Linked DNA regions of Ovis aries. The protein of the gene in region 2 purifies or fractionates together with the protein of the main gene of each other region. This does not show direct contact. Links are inferred from orthologs where the notes say so. Each region holds a gene or a part of one and is shown on either strand. Other genes may lie near its edges.

The links.
Region 1: the proteins of ARRDC3 (region 2) and ADRB2 purify together in Homo sapiens (affinity purification with western blotting; 6 studies listed by BioGRID and IntAct, with this or other methods). This does not show direct contact. The link is inferred for Ovis aries from reciprocal best matches to the Homo sapiens genes ARRDC3 and ADRB2.
Region 3: the proteins of ARRDC3 (region 2) and ITCH purify together in Homo sapiens (co-immunoprecipitation; 5 studies listed by BioGRID and IntAct, counting the BioPlex papers as one, with this or other methods). This does not show direct contact. The link is inferred for Ovis aries from reciprocal best matches to the Homo sapiens genes ARRDC3 and ITCH.

What each region holds. Positions count from the first base shown.
Region 1 is NC_056058.1:58,016,020-58,019,133, forward strand, and holds ADRB2 (beta-2 adrenergic receptor), read left to right. Parts: upstream 1-1,305; coding exon 1,306-2,562; downstream 2,563-3,114. UniProt on the Homo sapiens protein: Beta-adrenergic receptors mediate the catecholamine-induced activation of adenylate cyclase through the action of G proteins. The beta-2-adrenergic receptor binds epinephrine with an approximately 30-fold greater affinity than it does norepinephrine.
Region 2 is NC_056058.1:88,494,410-88,498,065, forward strand, and holds part of ARRDC3 (arrestin domain-containing protein 3), read right to left. Parts: exon of another isoform or gene 3,444-3,656; intron 2,229-3,443; coding exon of another isoform or gene 2,147-2,228; intron 2,049-2,146; coding exon 1,967-2,048; intron 88-1,966; coding exon 1-87. UniProt on the Homo sapiens protein: Adapter protein that plays a role in regulating cell-surface expression of adrenergic receptors and probably also other G protein-coupled receptors.
Region 3 is NC_056066.1:63,837,593-63,841,248, reverse strand, and holds part of ITCH (E3 ubiquitin-protein ligase Itchy homolog), read right to left. Parts: intron 1,279-3,656; coding exon 1,104-1,278; intron 1-1,103. UniProt on the Homo sapiens protein: Acts as an Acts as an E3 ubiquitin-protein ligase which accepts ubiquitin from an E2 ubiquitin-conjugating enzyme in the form of a thioester and then directly transfers the ubiquitin to targeted substrates.

The DNA.
Region 1 (3,114 bases), about 30 Mb from region 2:
TTGCAAAGGGATTATTGAAGAAGTTGAACTTGAAAATTATTTCATTTTCAACATATTCTCATTTTAACAGATAAGGAAGGAACAATGCCACACTCCCTAGAATTAAGAATTAAAGCATACAACCTTCTCTTCCTATCCCCAAGCACATACACGTATACCCCAGCTCCAAATGAAATCCCAAGAGTAAAATTAGGTCTCAATCCCTGCAAATTTCCAAGGAGGGCACCAAAAGTACTGGACAGCAAGCATGCTGAGGAAGTTGGCTGCTGTTAAAGTCACCACCTGTGGTCTTGCCAAATGTCTGAAAGGGAATATGCCATGAGACCTGTGTATTGGGGAAGATGGGGGGGATGTCCAGGGGGCAAGGGTAAAGAGTTTGGAATATCCGGATGGGGAAGTCCTTCTCTGTGGCACACTGCTTGCCTCCAAGTGGGCGTTTGTATGCCGTTTGTTTACTTCTTTTTGTCTGTATGTCGGTGTCTTTATGCTTCTGGGTGCTCCTGGTTTGCTCCTGGCCATGTCGATCGTGCTGGACAGGGGTGATTGTGCCAGTCGGCTTCTGTGCCTGAGCACTCGTTGGTGCGCTGGATGGGTGTGTCTGAGTGTCTGTGGCTGTGGTTCCGTATAAGTCTGAGCATGTATGTCGGGGTACAATGTGCCTGCCTGTGCGTGTCTCGGTGGGCACGCTCATCTAATGCGAGGAAGTGCCGGAGTATTGCCATCTGCCCTGAGACCTCAAGCCGCACAGCCGCCCCAGGCAGACAGGTAGCGCCCACCAAAGAACCGGCACCTTCTAGCTGGCTGGTAAGCTCGCTAGAGCCGGCTTCAGCCTCCGGGGCCAGCCGAGGGAGCCCCGAGGGAATGGTGGCCGACCCGCCCTGCTAGAGCAGCTGGGTCCCGCCCGGGCCAGCCCCAGGAGCAGGCAGGAGAGGGGAGGGAAGGGGCGGGAGAGGGCGTGGGCCTCGCCCCTTTGGGGCTTCCCGCGTTCTATTGGTTGAAAGTTCTAGCACGTCACGGGGAGGGCAGTTCCCCTAAAGTCCTGGTCACATAACGGACAGCGCGCACTCAGAGACGGCTTCTCCAGAGCGCAAGCTGGAACTGGCTGAAACTGCCCGGCACTGCGAGTCCAGAGTACCCCCGGAGCTGAGTGCACCACGCACCCCTACCACACCCGCACCCACCCACGGCCGCTGAATGAGTCTTCCAGGTGCTCGCTTGCTGCCCGCAGCGCCCCGCCGGAGGTCCGCTCGCTGAGGGCGGCTGGTGCGCCGGCAGCCTGTGCGCTCACCTGCCAGCCTGCGCGCCATGGGGCAGCCCGGGAACCGCAGCGTCTTTTTGCTGGCGCCCAACGCAAGCCACGCGCCGGACCAAGACGGCACGCTGGAACGGGACGAGGCCTGGGTGGTGGGCATGGGCATCCTCATGTCGCTTATTGTCCTGGCCATCGTGTTTGGAAACGTGCTAGTCATCACAGCCATTGCCAAGTTTGAGCGTCTGCAGACGGTCACCAACTACTTCATCACCTCCCTGGCCTGTGCTGACCTGGTCATGGGCCTGGCAGTGGTGCCCTTTGGGGCCTGCCACATCCTCATGAAAATGTGGACTTTTGGCAACTTCTGGTGTGAGTTTTGGACTTCCATTGACGTGTTGTGCGTCACGGCCAGCATTGAGACCCTGTGCGTGATCGCTGTGGATCGCTACTTTGCCATCACGTCACCCTTCAAGTATCAGTGCCTGCTGACCAAGAATAAGGCCCGGGTGGTCATTTTGATGGTGTGGATCGTGTCTGGCCTTACCTCTTTCTTACCCATTCAGATGCACTGGTACCGGGCCAGCCACAAGGAAGCTATCAAGTGCTATGCTAAGGAAACCTGCTGTGACTTCTTCACGAACCAACCCTATGCCATTGCCTCCTCCATTGTGTCCTTCTACCTTCCCCTGGTGGTCATGGTCTTTGTCTACTCCAGGGTGTTCCAGGTAGCCAAAAGGCAGCTCCAGAAGATCGACAAATCTGAGGGCCGCTTCCATGCCCAAAACGTCAGTCAAGTGGAGCAGGATGGGCGGAGCGGTCTAGGACAACGCAGGACATCCAAGTTCTACTTGAAGGAACACAAAGCCCTCAAGACTTTAGGCATTATCATGGGCACTTTCACCCTATGCTGGCTGCCCTTCTTCATTGTCAACATTGTGCACGTGATCCAGGATAACCTCATCCCTAAGGAAATTTACATCCTTCTAAACTGGTTGGGCTACATCAACTCCGCTTTCAATCCCCTTATCTACTGCCGGAGCCCAGATTTCAGGATTGCCTTCCAGGAGCTTCTCTGCCTGCGCAGGTCTTCATTGAAGGCCTATGGGAATGGCTGCTCCAGCACCAGCAATGACAGGACTGACTACACGGGGGAACAGAGTGGATATCACCTGGGGGAGGAGAAAGACAGTGAACTGCTGTGTGAAGACCCCCCAGGCACCGAAAACTTTGTGAACCAGCAAGGTACTGTGCCCAGTGATAGCACTGATTCACAAGGGAGGAATTGTAGTACAAATGACTCACTGCTGTAATGCAGGTTTTTCTACTTTTTAAGACACCCCTTCTCCCCGGTTCCCTGCAACAAAACACTAAACAGACTATTTAACTTGAGTGTAATAAATTTAGAATAAAGTTGTACAGAGATGTGCAGGAGGAAACATATCCTTCTGCCTTTTTATTTTTTATTTTTTTAAGTTGTGACAAAATATATTTGAGTAACTGTTTCTTGTACAGTTCAGTTCCTCTTTGCCTGGAACTCGTTAAGTTTATGTCTGAAGGGCTTCAGTCTCAAAGAACCTGGGGCTGCTATGTTTTGATGACTTTTCCTGCATATCTACCTCATTGATCAAGTATTAGGGGTAATATATTGCTGCTGGTAATTTGTATCTGAAGGAGACCTTCCTTCCTGCACCCTTGGACTGGAAGATATTGAGTCTCTCGGACCTTTCGCTGTGAACATGGACTCTCCTCGCCCCTCTTATTTGCTCAAACGGGGTGTTGTAGGCAGGGACTTGAGGGGCAGCTTTGGTTGTTTTTCTGAGCAAAGTCTAAAGTTTACAGTAAATAAATTGTTTGACCATGAC
Region 2 (3,656 bases):
ACTGGTAGAAGCCAAGGCCTGTGCAATTCGGCTTTCACCCAATAGCGCACACTGCCATGTCGGCCTTCGAATGAGGTAGCAAGTGGTCTGTGCAGAATATAAAGATCATATATTAATCTTACACCTCTGTTTAATTAATTATACAGTAGGTCAGCATAGAAGTGTTAATATATTATATGTTTATACACCAATGAGGTATCGAAGGTGTAATTTATATTTCCAAAGGGAGAAATCATGGGGGGGGGGGGGAACCTTCCAAATAATAAAATAGATAATTGTCAAATAGTGCAGAAATTTGGTTAAAAAAAGCCAGACGAATACAATTGCTTTAAACTAAGAAGAGGCTACTTTTAATGCTGGTGGCAAAATTATCAAAGTCTGGAAATGAACAGTTTTTGAAAAGGTCAAGACTTTAGTTTAAAAATAAAATTAAGAATGGTTTAACTATTTCTCTTGAGAAATTCTAGACTCTGGTTAAACATTCAGACCAAACTCCCTATGGTGCTCCATTTTTCATTAGCTAAAAATTACTATTTCCTATTATAGCAACTAATTAAGATCCAGAAAAGGTCTGGAATAGTCATTATGGCTTCAAAAGCTTTTTACATTTCATTAAGTCCACTAATCTCTTAAAAAATGCTTTCCATTTCCTAATTTTGGCCATGTTTTCTAACTACATTATAGACTTAAAAAGAAGGAGAATTTCTTCTGTTGACCTGTTATCAAAAGAATCAGAATTCTTCTCAACTCTGATTTTATTATTTGTGGAAGATTTTATTTTAGTGTATTTAGTCTCCTTTTCATAATTTCATCAGAAAAATGCACAAGGTTCATTTATTTACAAGGTAGAGTGCTAGTTTTTTTGAGGAGTAGCGGTGTTTACTTTTTGTTTTACATTTTAGACTTCTGCTTAATTTGTATAGCACAGAGAAATAAAATGCAGGATCTATTCAAGACTTCTACAGTTTATTTTAAATGACTGTGGCTTATTGAAAGAATTAAAATATATATTTATATTAAATTACCTTCATCCTTTGAAAATATTCAGGCCCAACTGTATTAGCCCTATTGTATTTACAAACTTAAAATATTTCTCTTAGAAAGTAATTAGGGTATTATATTAAAAATGTTCTTAAGCAATATGATACTCTGAAAAATACTCCTTATGAACTCTATCCATATATAATAAGTACTAGAATTAAAGAACACAGAATTATGTACATTTGGCACTTGACAAAATCTTCTGTAATGCAAGTTTATCTTTCAGAACAAACATTACAAGTACCACTTTGCATGCTTTAATATCTGTTAAGGCATTATTTTAAAAACTGCTTTTTGTATAATTTCCTCTAATACATAATTATTACATTATGAATATTTTACTTTCCTTCTTCCTTTCATACTATATTCCAGGCCTTACATTAAGATATCTGATTGACATTTCCTTTTAAGTCTAGGTCGCAATATCTCTTGTGTGACATTCTCAATAGCTCCTTGCACAGAAGCTAATGAATTCATATCATAAACACACAGTACTTCTAAAATTAGGATATTCCTAATTATTTTTACCTTCTTAGTGTTGGTTAAGCATCAGTAGAAAGGACAGAACACTTAACTTTTATAAACTACTAAATGACAGACTTGATATGATCTTTTTTCCAGCTAATGCTGATGGTGAACTATTAGGTGCTTACCATTTGACTAGCACCTTCCAATTCATTCACTTTAAATGAAATACTTTTAAACATCATACAAATCCTGAGACAGAGTATTAAGAATTGAGATTTGCTTTCTATAATTTTGCCACTCTAGATTAAAAAATAGCTTTTTTTTAGTATATTGTTTTCCTCTAGCAAGTTTCAGTAATGAAAAGGGTTTTTTTAAACTAAAAATATTTAAATATACAATGTTTCATTTTAAAAGAAAGGATGTTTATTTGAAAAACGCCTGTTAACAAAATACTTACGTCTGTGGAAGCTCGAAGCTGAATGCATATTCATGCCTTCCTGAATGAACAGTGTTGAAGCCTTCTTCCGAATTATCGTCATCTAAAACAGAAAACAAAAAATTTATTAATAAACCTTCACACTCTCTTCACGATGTCAGAACTTAAAAGATGCTCACATAGTTAAATAAGGCCACAAACTTTGGAGTGTGAGAGATCTGAACTCTAATTCCAACTTCATCACTTCTGGGTAAAATAAAACTCCTGTCTTCAGCTGGTTCATCTGTAGAATGGGGATAATTAATATTTATACCCCATAAGTGATTTTTTTAATGGAAAACAACCTAAACTGCAAAGCATCTTCAGCTAACATCCTACAGGCTAAGACTCAGACCTCAAATCTCATACTAAGATGTTACCTTTGTCTTCAACCATTTACTTAAATTTATCCTAATAAGCCTACATATAAAATGAAAACTATTCACGTAAACCTTTAAAAAAATATCAGTTTTGATACGGAAAATATGAATGTGAAAACTCAAACGATTAGAAAACTGCTAAGTAGATGTTGGGAGTTAAAAAAAAAAAAAGGAACAGTGATTTTAATGTCGGTTTCATAGTCAAAAATAAAAATTGTTACTGAACCTAAAATTATGACCTCAGTCTAATAGCTAAAAATTCACATATATATGATGTACCTTAGACTTAAAATGTGCCTGCTTAACGGGAAAAAACAGGTCATACATCCTTGAAAAATGAAGATAAGGATGTTCCCCAGTGCTAGGGAAAAAACAGGATGACCTTTGATTTTACATCCAATTTCTTTTGATGAAATAGGTTATTTTTCAAACTATCTAAAAAAAAAAAAAACCCTCAGGGAAATACGGGAGGGGGTTCTGGATTCTTGACATGCTTTTCTGAAGCGTTCTAACTAGGTAATTTAATTACATAAATGTCTACTAACGCAGCTTCCTCGGTGTAGAAACCTTTATCATTAAATAGGCTGTCAGAAACGGGTATTATCATTTAACTTTCCCTCAAAAAAGTAATAAATACACACACAAAAAATGATGCTTCCCTCAGAGGGGGGAAAAAAAGATGCCTATATGTGGATACCTTTTATTCAATAACCATCACGACTCAGTCTTGTCACCATTATTTTGTTCTTCTCCCCCCACCCCCGTGCAAATTCTCTCTCCTGGATTTCGGCCCTGAAAGCGGCTGATGAGTTGGGGGACATTTAAAACCGCTCCCTCCTGAAGGCGCCCAAAGTTTGCCTCCCTGTCTCTCCTTTTCTTCCCTTCTCGCTCCCTTTTTGTGCCAGCTCAGCAGTCTCATTGAGGCGAGCGGCGGCGGCGGCCGCGCCGTGGTAAACAAGTGCCGGGCTGTCAATCAAGAACTAGACCGGAGCAGGAGAGGACCGGCCTAAACCGGCGCGAGCAGATCCCAGCCGGCCCGCCCGCGCGCCGCCGCCGCCCGCGCGCCCCGCTATACATACGGCATATGTCGCGCGGCGCTCGCACTCGCGCTCGCACAGCCTAGCCTGCTGGCGGCGGGAGGGGGCGGGGCCAGGGCGCCGCAGCGCTTCCGCTTTACACGCCCCAGCCGGTGACCGGTTCGATCTGGCTCGGGCCACCCTGACACCTTTAAATTTGCAGCAAAGGAAATAGGGGTGGGGGCGGCGAAGGGATGCAAAAGCTCGGTGGTGGCG
Region 3 (3,656 bases), on a different chromosome or scaffold from region 2:
AGCCCATGCTCTTTCCACTGGACACCCATGTGGAAACTAGCTTTAAAGAAGGCAAGCCAGCTAGGCATTCAAACCTAAAAGAAATTTAGCCAGGTATACCCAAGATGATTATAATTTAGAAAGGAAGGAAGATGTAAAACAGCACTGGGAAAAAAAAAGAAAACTGTAAGGTAGATGAGACAAAAATTAATTTCACTTCTAAAACCACTGGGAAGGGGAAAACATTGACAGCTGTCTACAGAAGTTGGCAGGAAAAATTGTTACATGAAAGAAAGTTATCTTAGTCATAACCAGGTGGTGAAGCGAAAGCTGCTGAGCAAGGTGCAAATTTATCTACATTGGTGAGTGGTAACTATTATGATGACAAAGTCCAAGAAACAGAAATACGGAGAAAAGGCAAAAAGGTAATGCCTAATGAGAACAGGAATTTATTTTGATGGATTCTAACAGAGATGATACTGATGGCAGTAGAAGGGAAGAGACGGCAACGGAGAGGGTCAACTTCTCTTGAACTCTTGGTGAGTTGGTTTACATAAATTTAAAAGATTTCCAGAAAGGAGACATTTTGATACCAAAGATAATATGGCTTCAAAGTCATAATAATATATTTAACATAATTCTATAAGCAATCAAACTTTAGTCTTCTCAAGCACTAAATAGTGTATTGTGTAAATTTTACCTTTACATGTTACAAAATGATTCAATTCTATCATGAGTTTCACTTGAGTCAGGTGCTGTTAGACCCAAACAGTCTAATGTTCTGCTAAGCTAGGCAGTATTAAATTCAGAACTGTTTGAATTCTTTTTACACTGCTTGGATTTATTTTTATCATTCTTTTGTAAATAAATTTTAAGTTGTCGGAACTTCTTTTCTGCCAGTAACAAAGCAAAGGAAGTTGAACTTAAGGAAATTTTAAAAAGAAAAGAATAAATCACCTACACAGACTATGGGAAACAAGATGGAAAAATAATAATATCATCAATAGCAACAACTGGGTTGCCATCTTATTTGTACTTTCTTTTTAGTGCTTTACATTTTATATGTAAGAAAAGGTTAAAACTCAACCCTCATTAAGGTTATAAAGCCAAGTACATATGCTCACCCCATAAATGAACCTCTGGTTAAATTGCTGCATAGCTCCCTGAAGTTGACTACGCTGGAGCTGCCATTGTTCATAGTTTCGGACGGATTCCAATGTTGGCCTCTGCCACGTTGTTGTTCTTGTGAAATGGTCAACATAATAAATACGTCCCATGTTGTCAACCCGCCGCTCCCAGCTATATCAAGATAAAAACAACTGAATTCAACAAATATTTGTGAAACTGTTAAGAACTAAGTGGGACTTCATTTTAGCCCTGGTACAGATTTGGCAAGACTTTACCTTACACAGCTACTTTTCAGTTACCTGAAGTCTTTTATAAGTATGTACTTTATTGGGAACGCATGTACACCCATGGGGATTCATGTCAATGTATGGCAAAACCATACAGTATTGTGAAGTAAAATAAAGTAAAAATAAAAGAAAAAAAAAAAAAAAAAGAAAAAAAAAGTATGTACTTTACAGTTTTTAAAAAACTTATTTACTTATTATTTTTTGGTTGCACTAGGTCTTTGTTGCTGTGTAGGTTTTCTCTAGGTGCAGAGTGGGGGCTACTTTCCAGTTGCAATGCGTGGGCTTCTCCTGTTGTGGAGCACGGGCTCTAGGGTGTGCGAGCTCACCAGAGCTCAGGAGTTGTAACATGCAGGCTCAGTAGCTACGGCTTGTAGGGTTCTAGAGCACGGGCTCAGTAGTTGTAGCACATGAGCTTAACTGCTCCAAAGCATGTGGACTCTTCCTGGACCAGGGATCAAACCCATATACCCAGCACTGCAGACTCTTATCCACTGTATCACCAGGGGGGACCTTTTATATATTTTTAAATGGTCTATAAATGAACTTAAAAGGAATGTATATAAAAATCTCTTTCTTAAAAGTTAAGATGTATCAGTCAGGTTTCTAAAACAATGTATCTTAACTGATTAAATTGCAAATCAGTAAGACAAAAGCTCTCATTTTCTTTGTTTGAAATGTTCTTTTCACTGTTGCAATCCTAATAGGAACAGAAATATACGTGAGAGCCAGAGAGTGCAAGTGCTTTTCACGGATGTCAGGAATAGCACTTTTGCTCAAGAAGAAAACTATTTTATTTATCATTTGAAATGGATGCATAACATTCAAGGAAACATTGATAAAGTAACTTGATGTCTACCTGGCTGATAGTTTGGGGTTATGTCTATTAGTTTAATATTATCCAGAATTGGTTCCAGGACACTCCTTGGGTACTCAAGTCCCTCATATAAAATAGCAAGGCTTTGCATATAACCAGGCACATCCTCCCATATACTTTAAATCATTTCTAGGTTACTAACAATACCTAATACAATGTAAATGCTAAACAACTGTCAACATAACATTAATGTTACGTAAACAGTTGCCAGGGCGTGGCAAATTCAGGTTTTGTCTTCTGGGACACCTTAAAATTTTCCCCCAATATTTCGATCTATGCATGCAGGCCAACTGTGGTAAAATAATTAATACCTTTTATGTATTGAAAATTTTTTTCTTCCTTTGCATTACTTCTTTAGGATGCATTTCCTGGAGAGGGTTACTAAGGGTATGGGTATTGCTACAGTTATATATACTTTCTGTGAGAGCTGTAACTACTTTAGACTACCACCAGCAACATTAAGAGGCAAAGCTCCCCTACAATTTCGCCAAAACTGGATATTATATGTTAATTTAACACACAAAACACCTTTTAGGTGTTTATTTAAGATTACTAGCAAGATTAAATATTTTCATGTATTTATGCCTGGCTTCCCTCAAATAAAAATATTTTCTTCCTTCCAATTATTTTATATGTTAAATGATTAACACCATATATCAATATATCCCATTTAATATTAATATTTCTCCAAATATCTTATAATGACTTTGCTATTATGTATTAGCTTTTATAAGAACTTTACCATAAATATGATAGGGTCTATAATTCTTACTCAGTTAAAAAAAAAACTAACCCTGTTGTACAGCAGAAACTAATAACATTGTAAAGGAATTATCCTCCCGTGAAAAAATATTCTATGATAAACCATAATTGAAAAGAATATTAAAAATAACATATATAACATAATCACTGTGCTGTACAAGGGCTTCCCAGGTGGCTTAGTGGTAAAGAATCTGCCTGCAATGAAGGAGATCCAGGTTCGATCCCTGGGTGGGGAAGATCCCCTGGAGGAGGAAATGGCAACCCACTCTAGTATTCTTGCCTGGAAAATCCCGTGGACAGCAGAGCTTGGCAGGCTACAGTCTTTAGGGTCACAAAGGGTCAGACATGACTGAAGTGACTTAGCAGCATGCTGTACAATAAGAATTAACAGCACTGTAAATCAACCATACGTTAATAAAAATAAATAAGGAGGAAAAAACCCTCCTTTTAAAACCCTGCAGTTTGAGCCAGGTAAGTTCACAAAGTAAACTTAGGGAATCTTTCTTTAGGTCAGAAATGAGTGAAAATAAACATATTTCATCATGGTCAATCAATTCCCCAGAATCTCTTTTCAGTCTGCACCCATCATAAAGCAAAGTAGATAGAAACGAGACTGACAGAAGAGG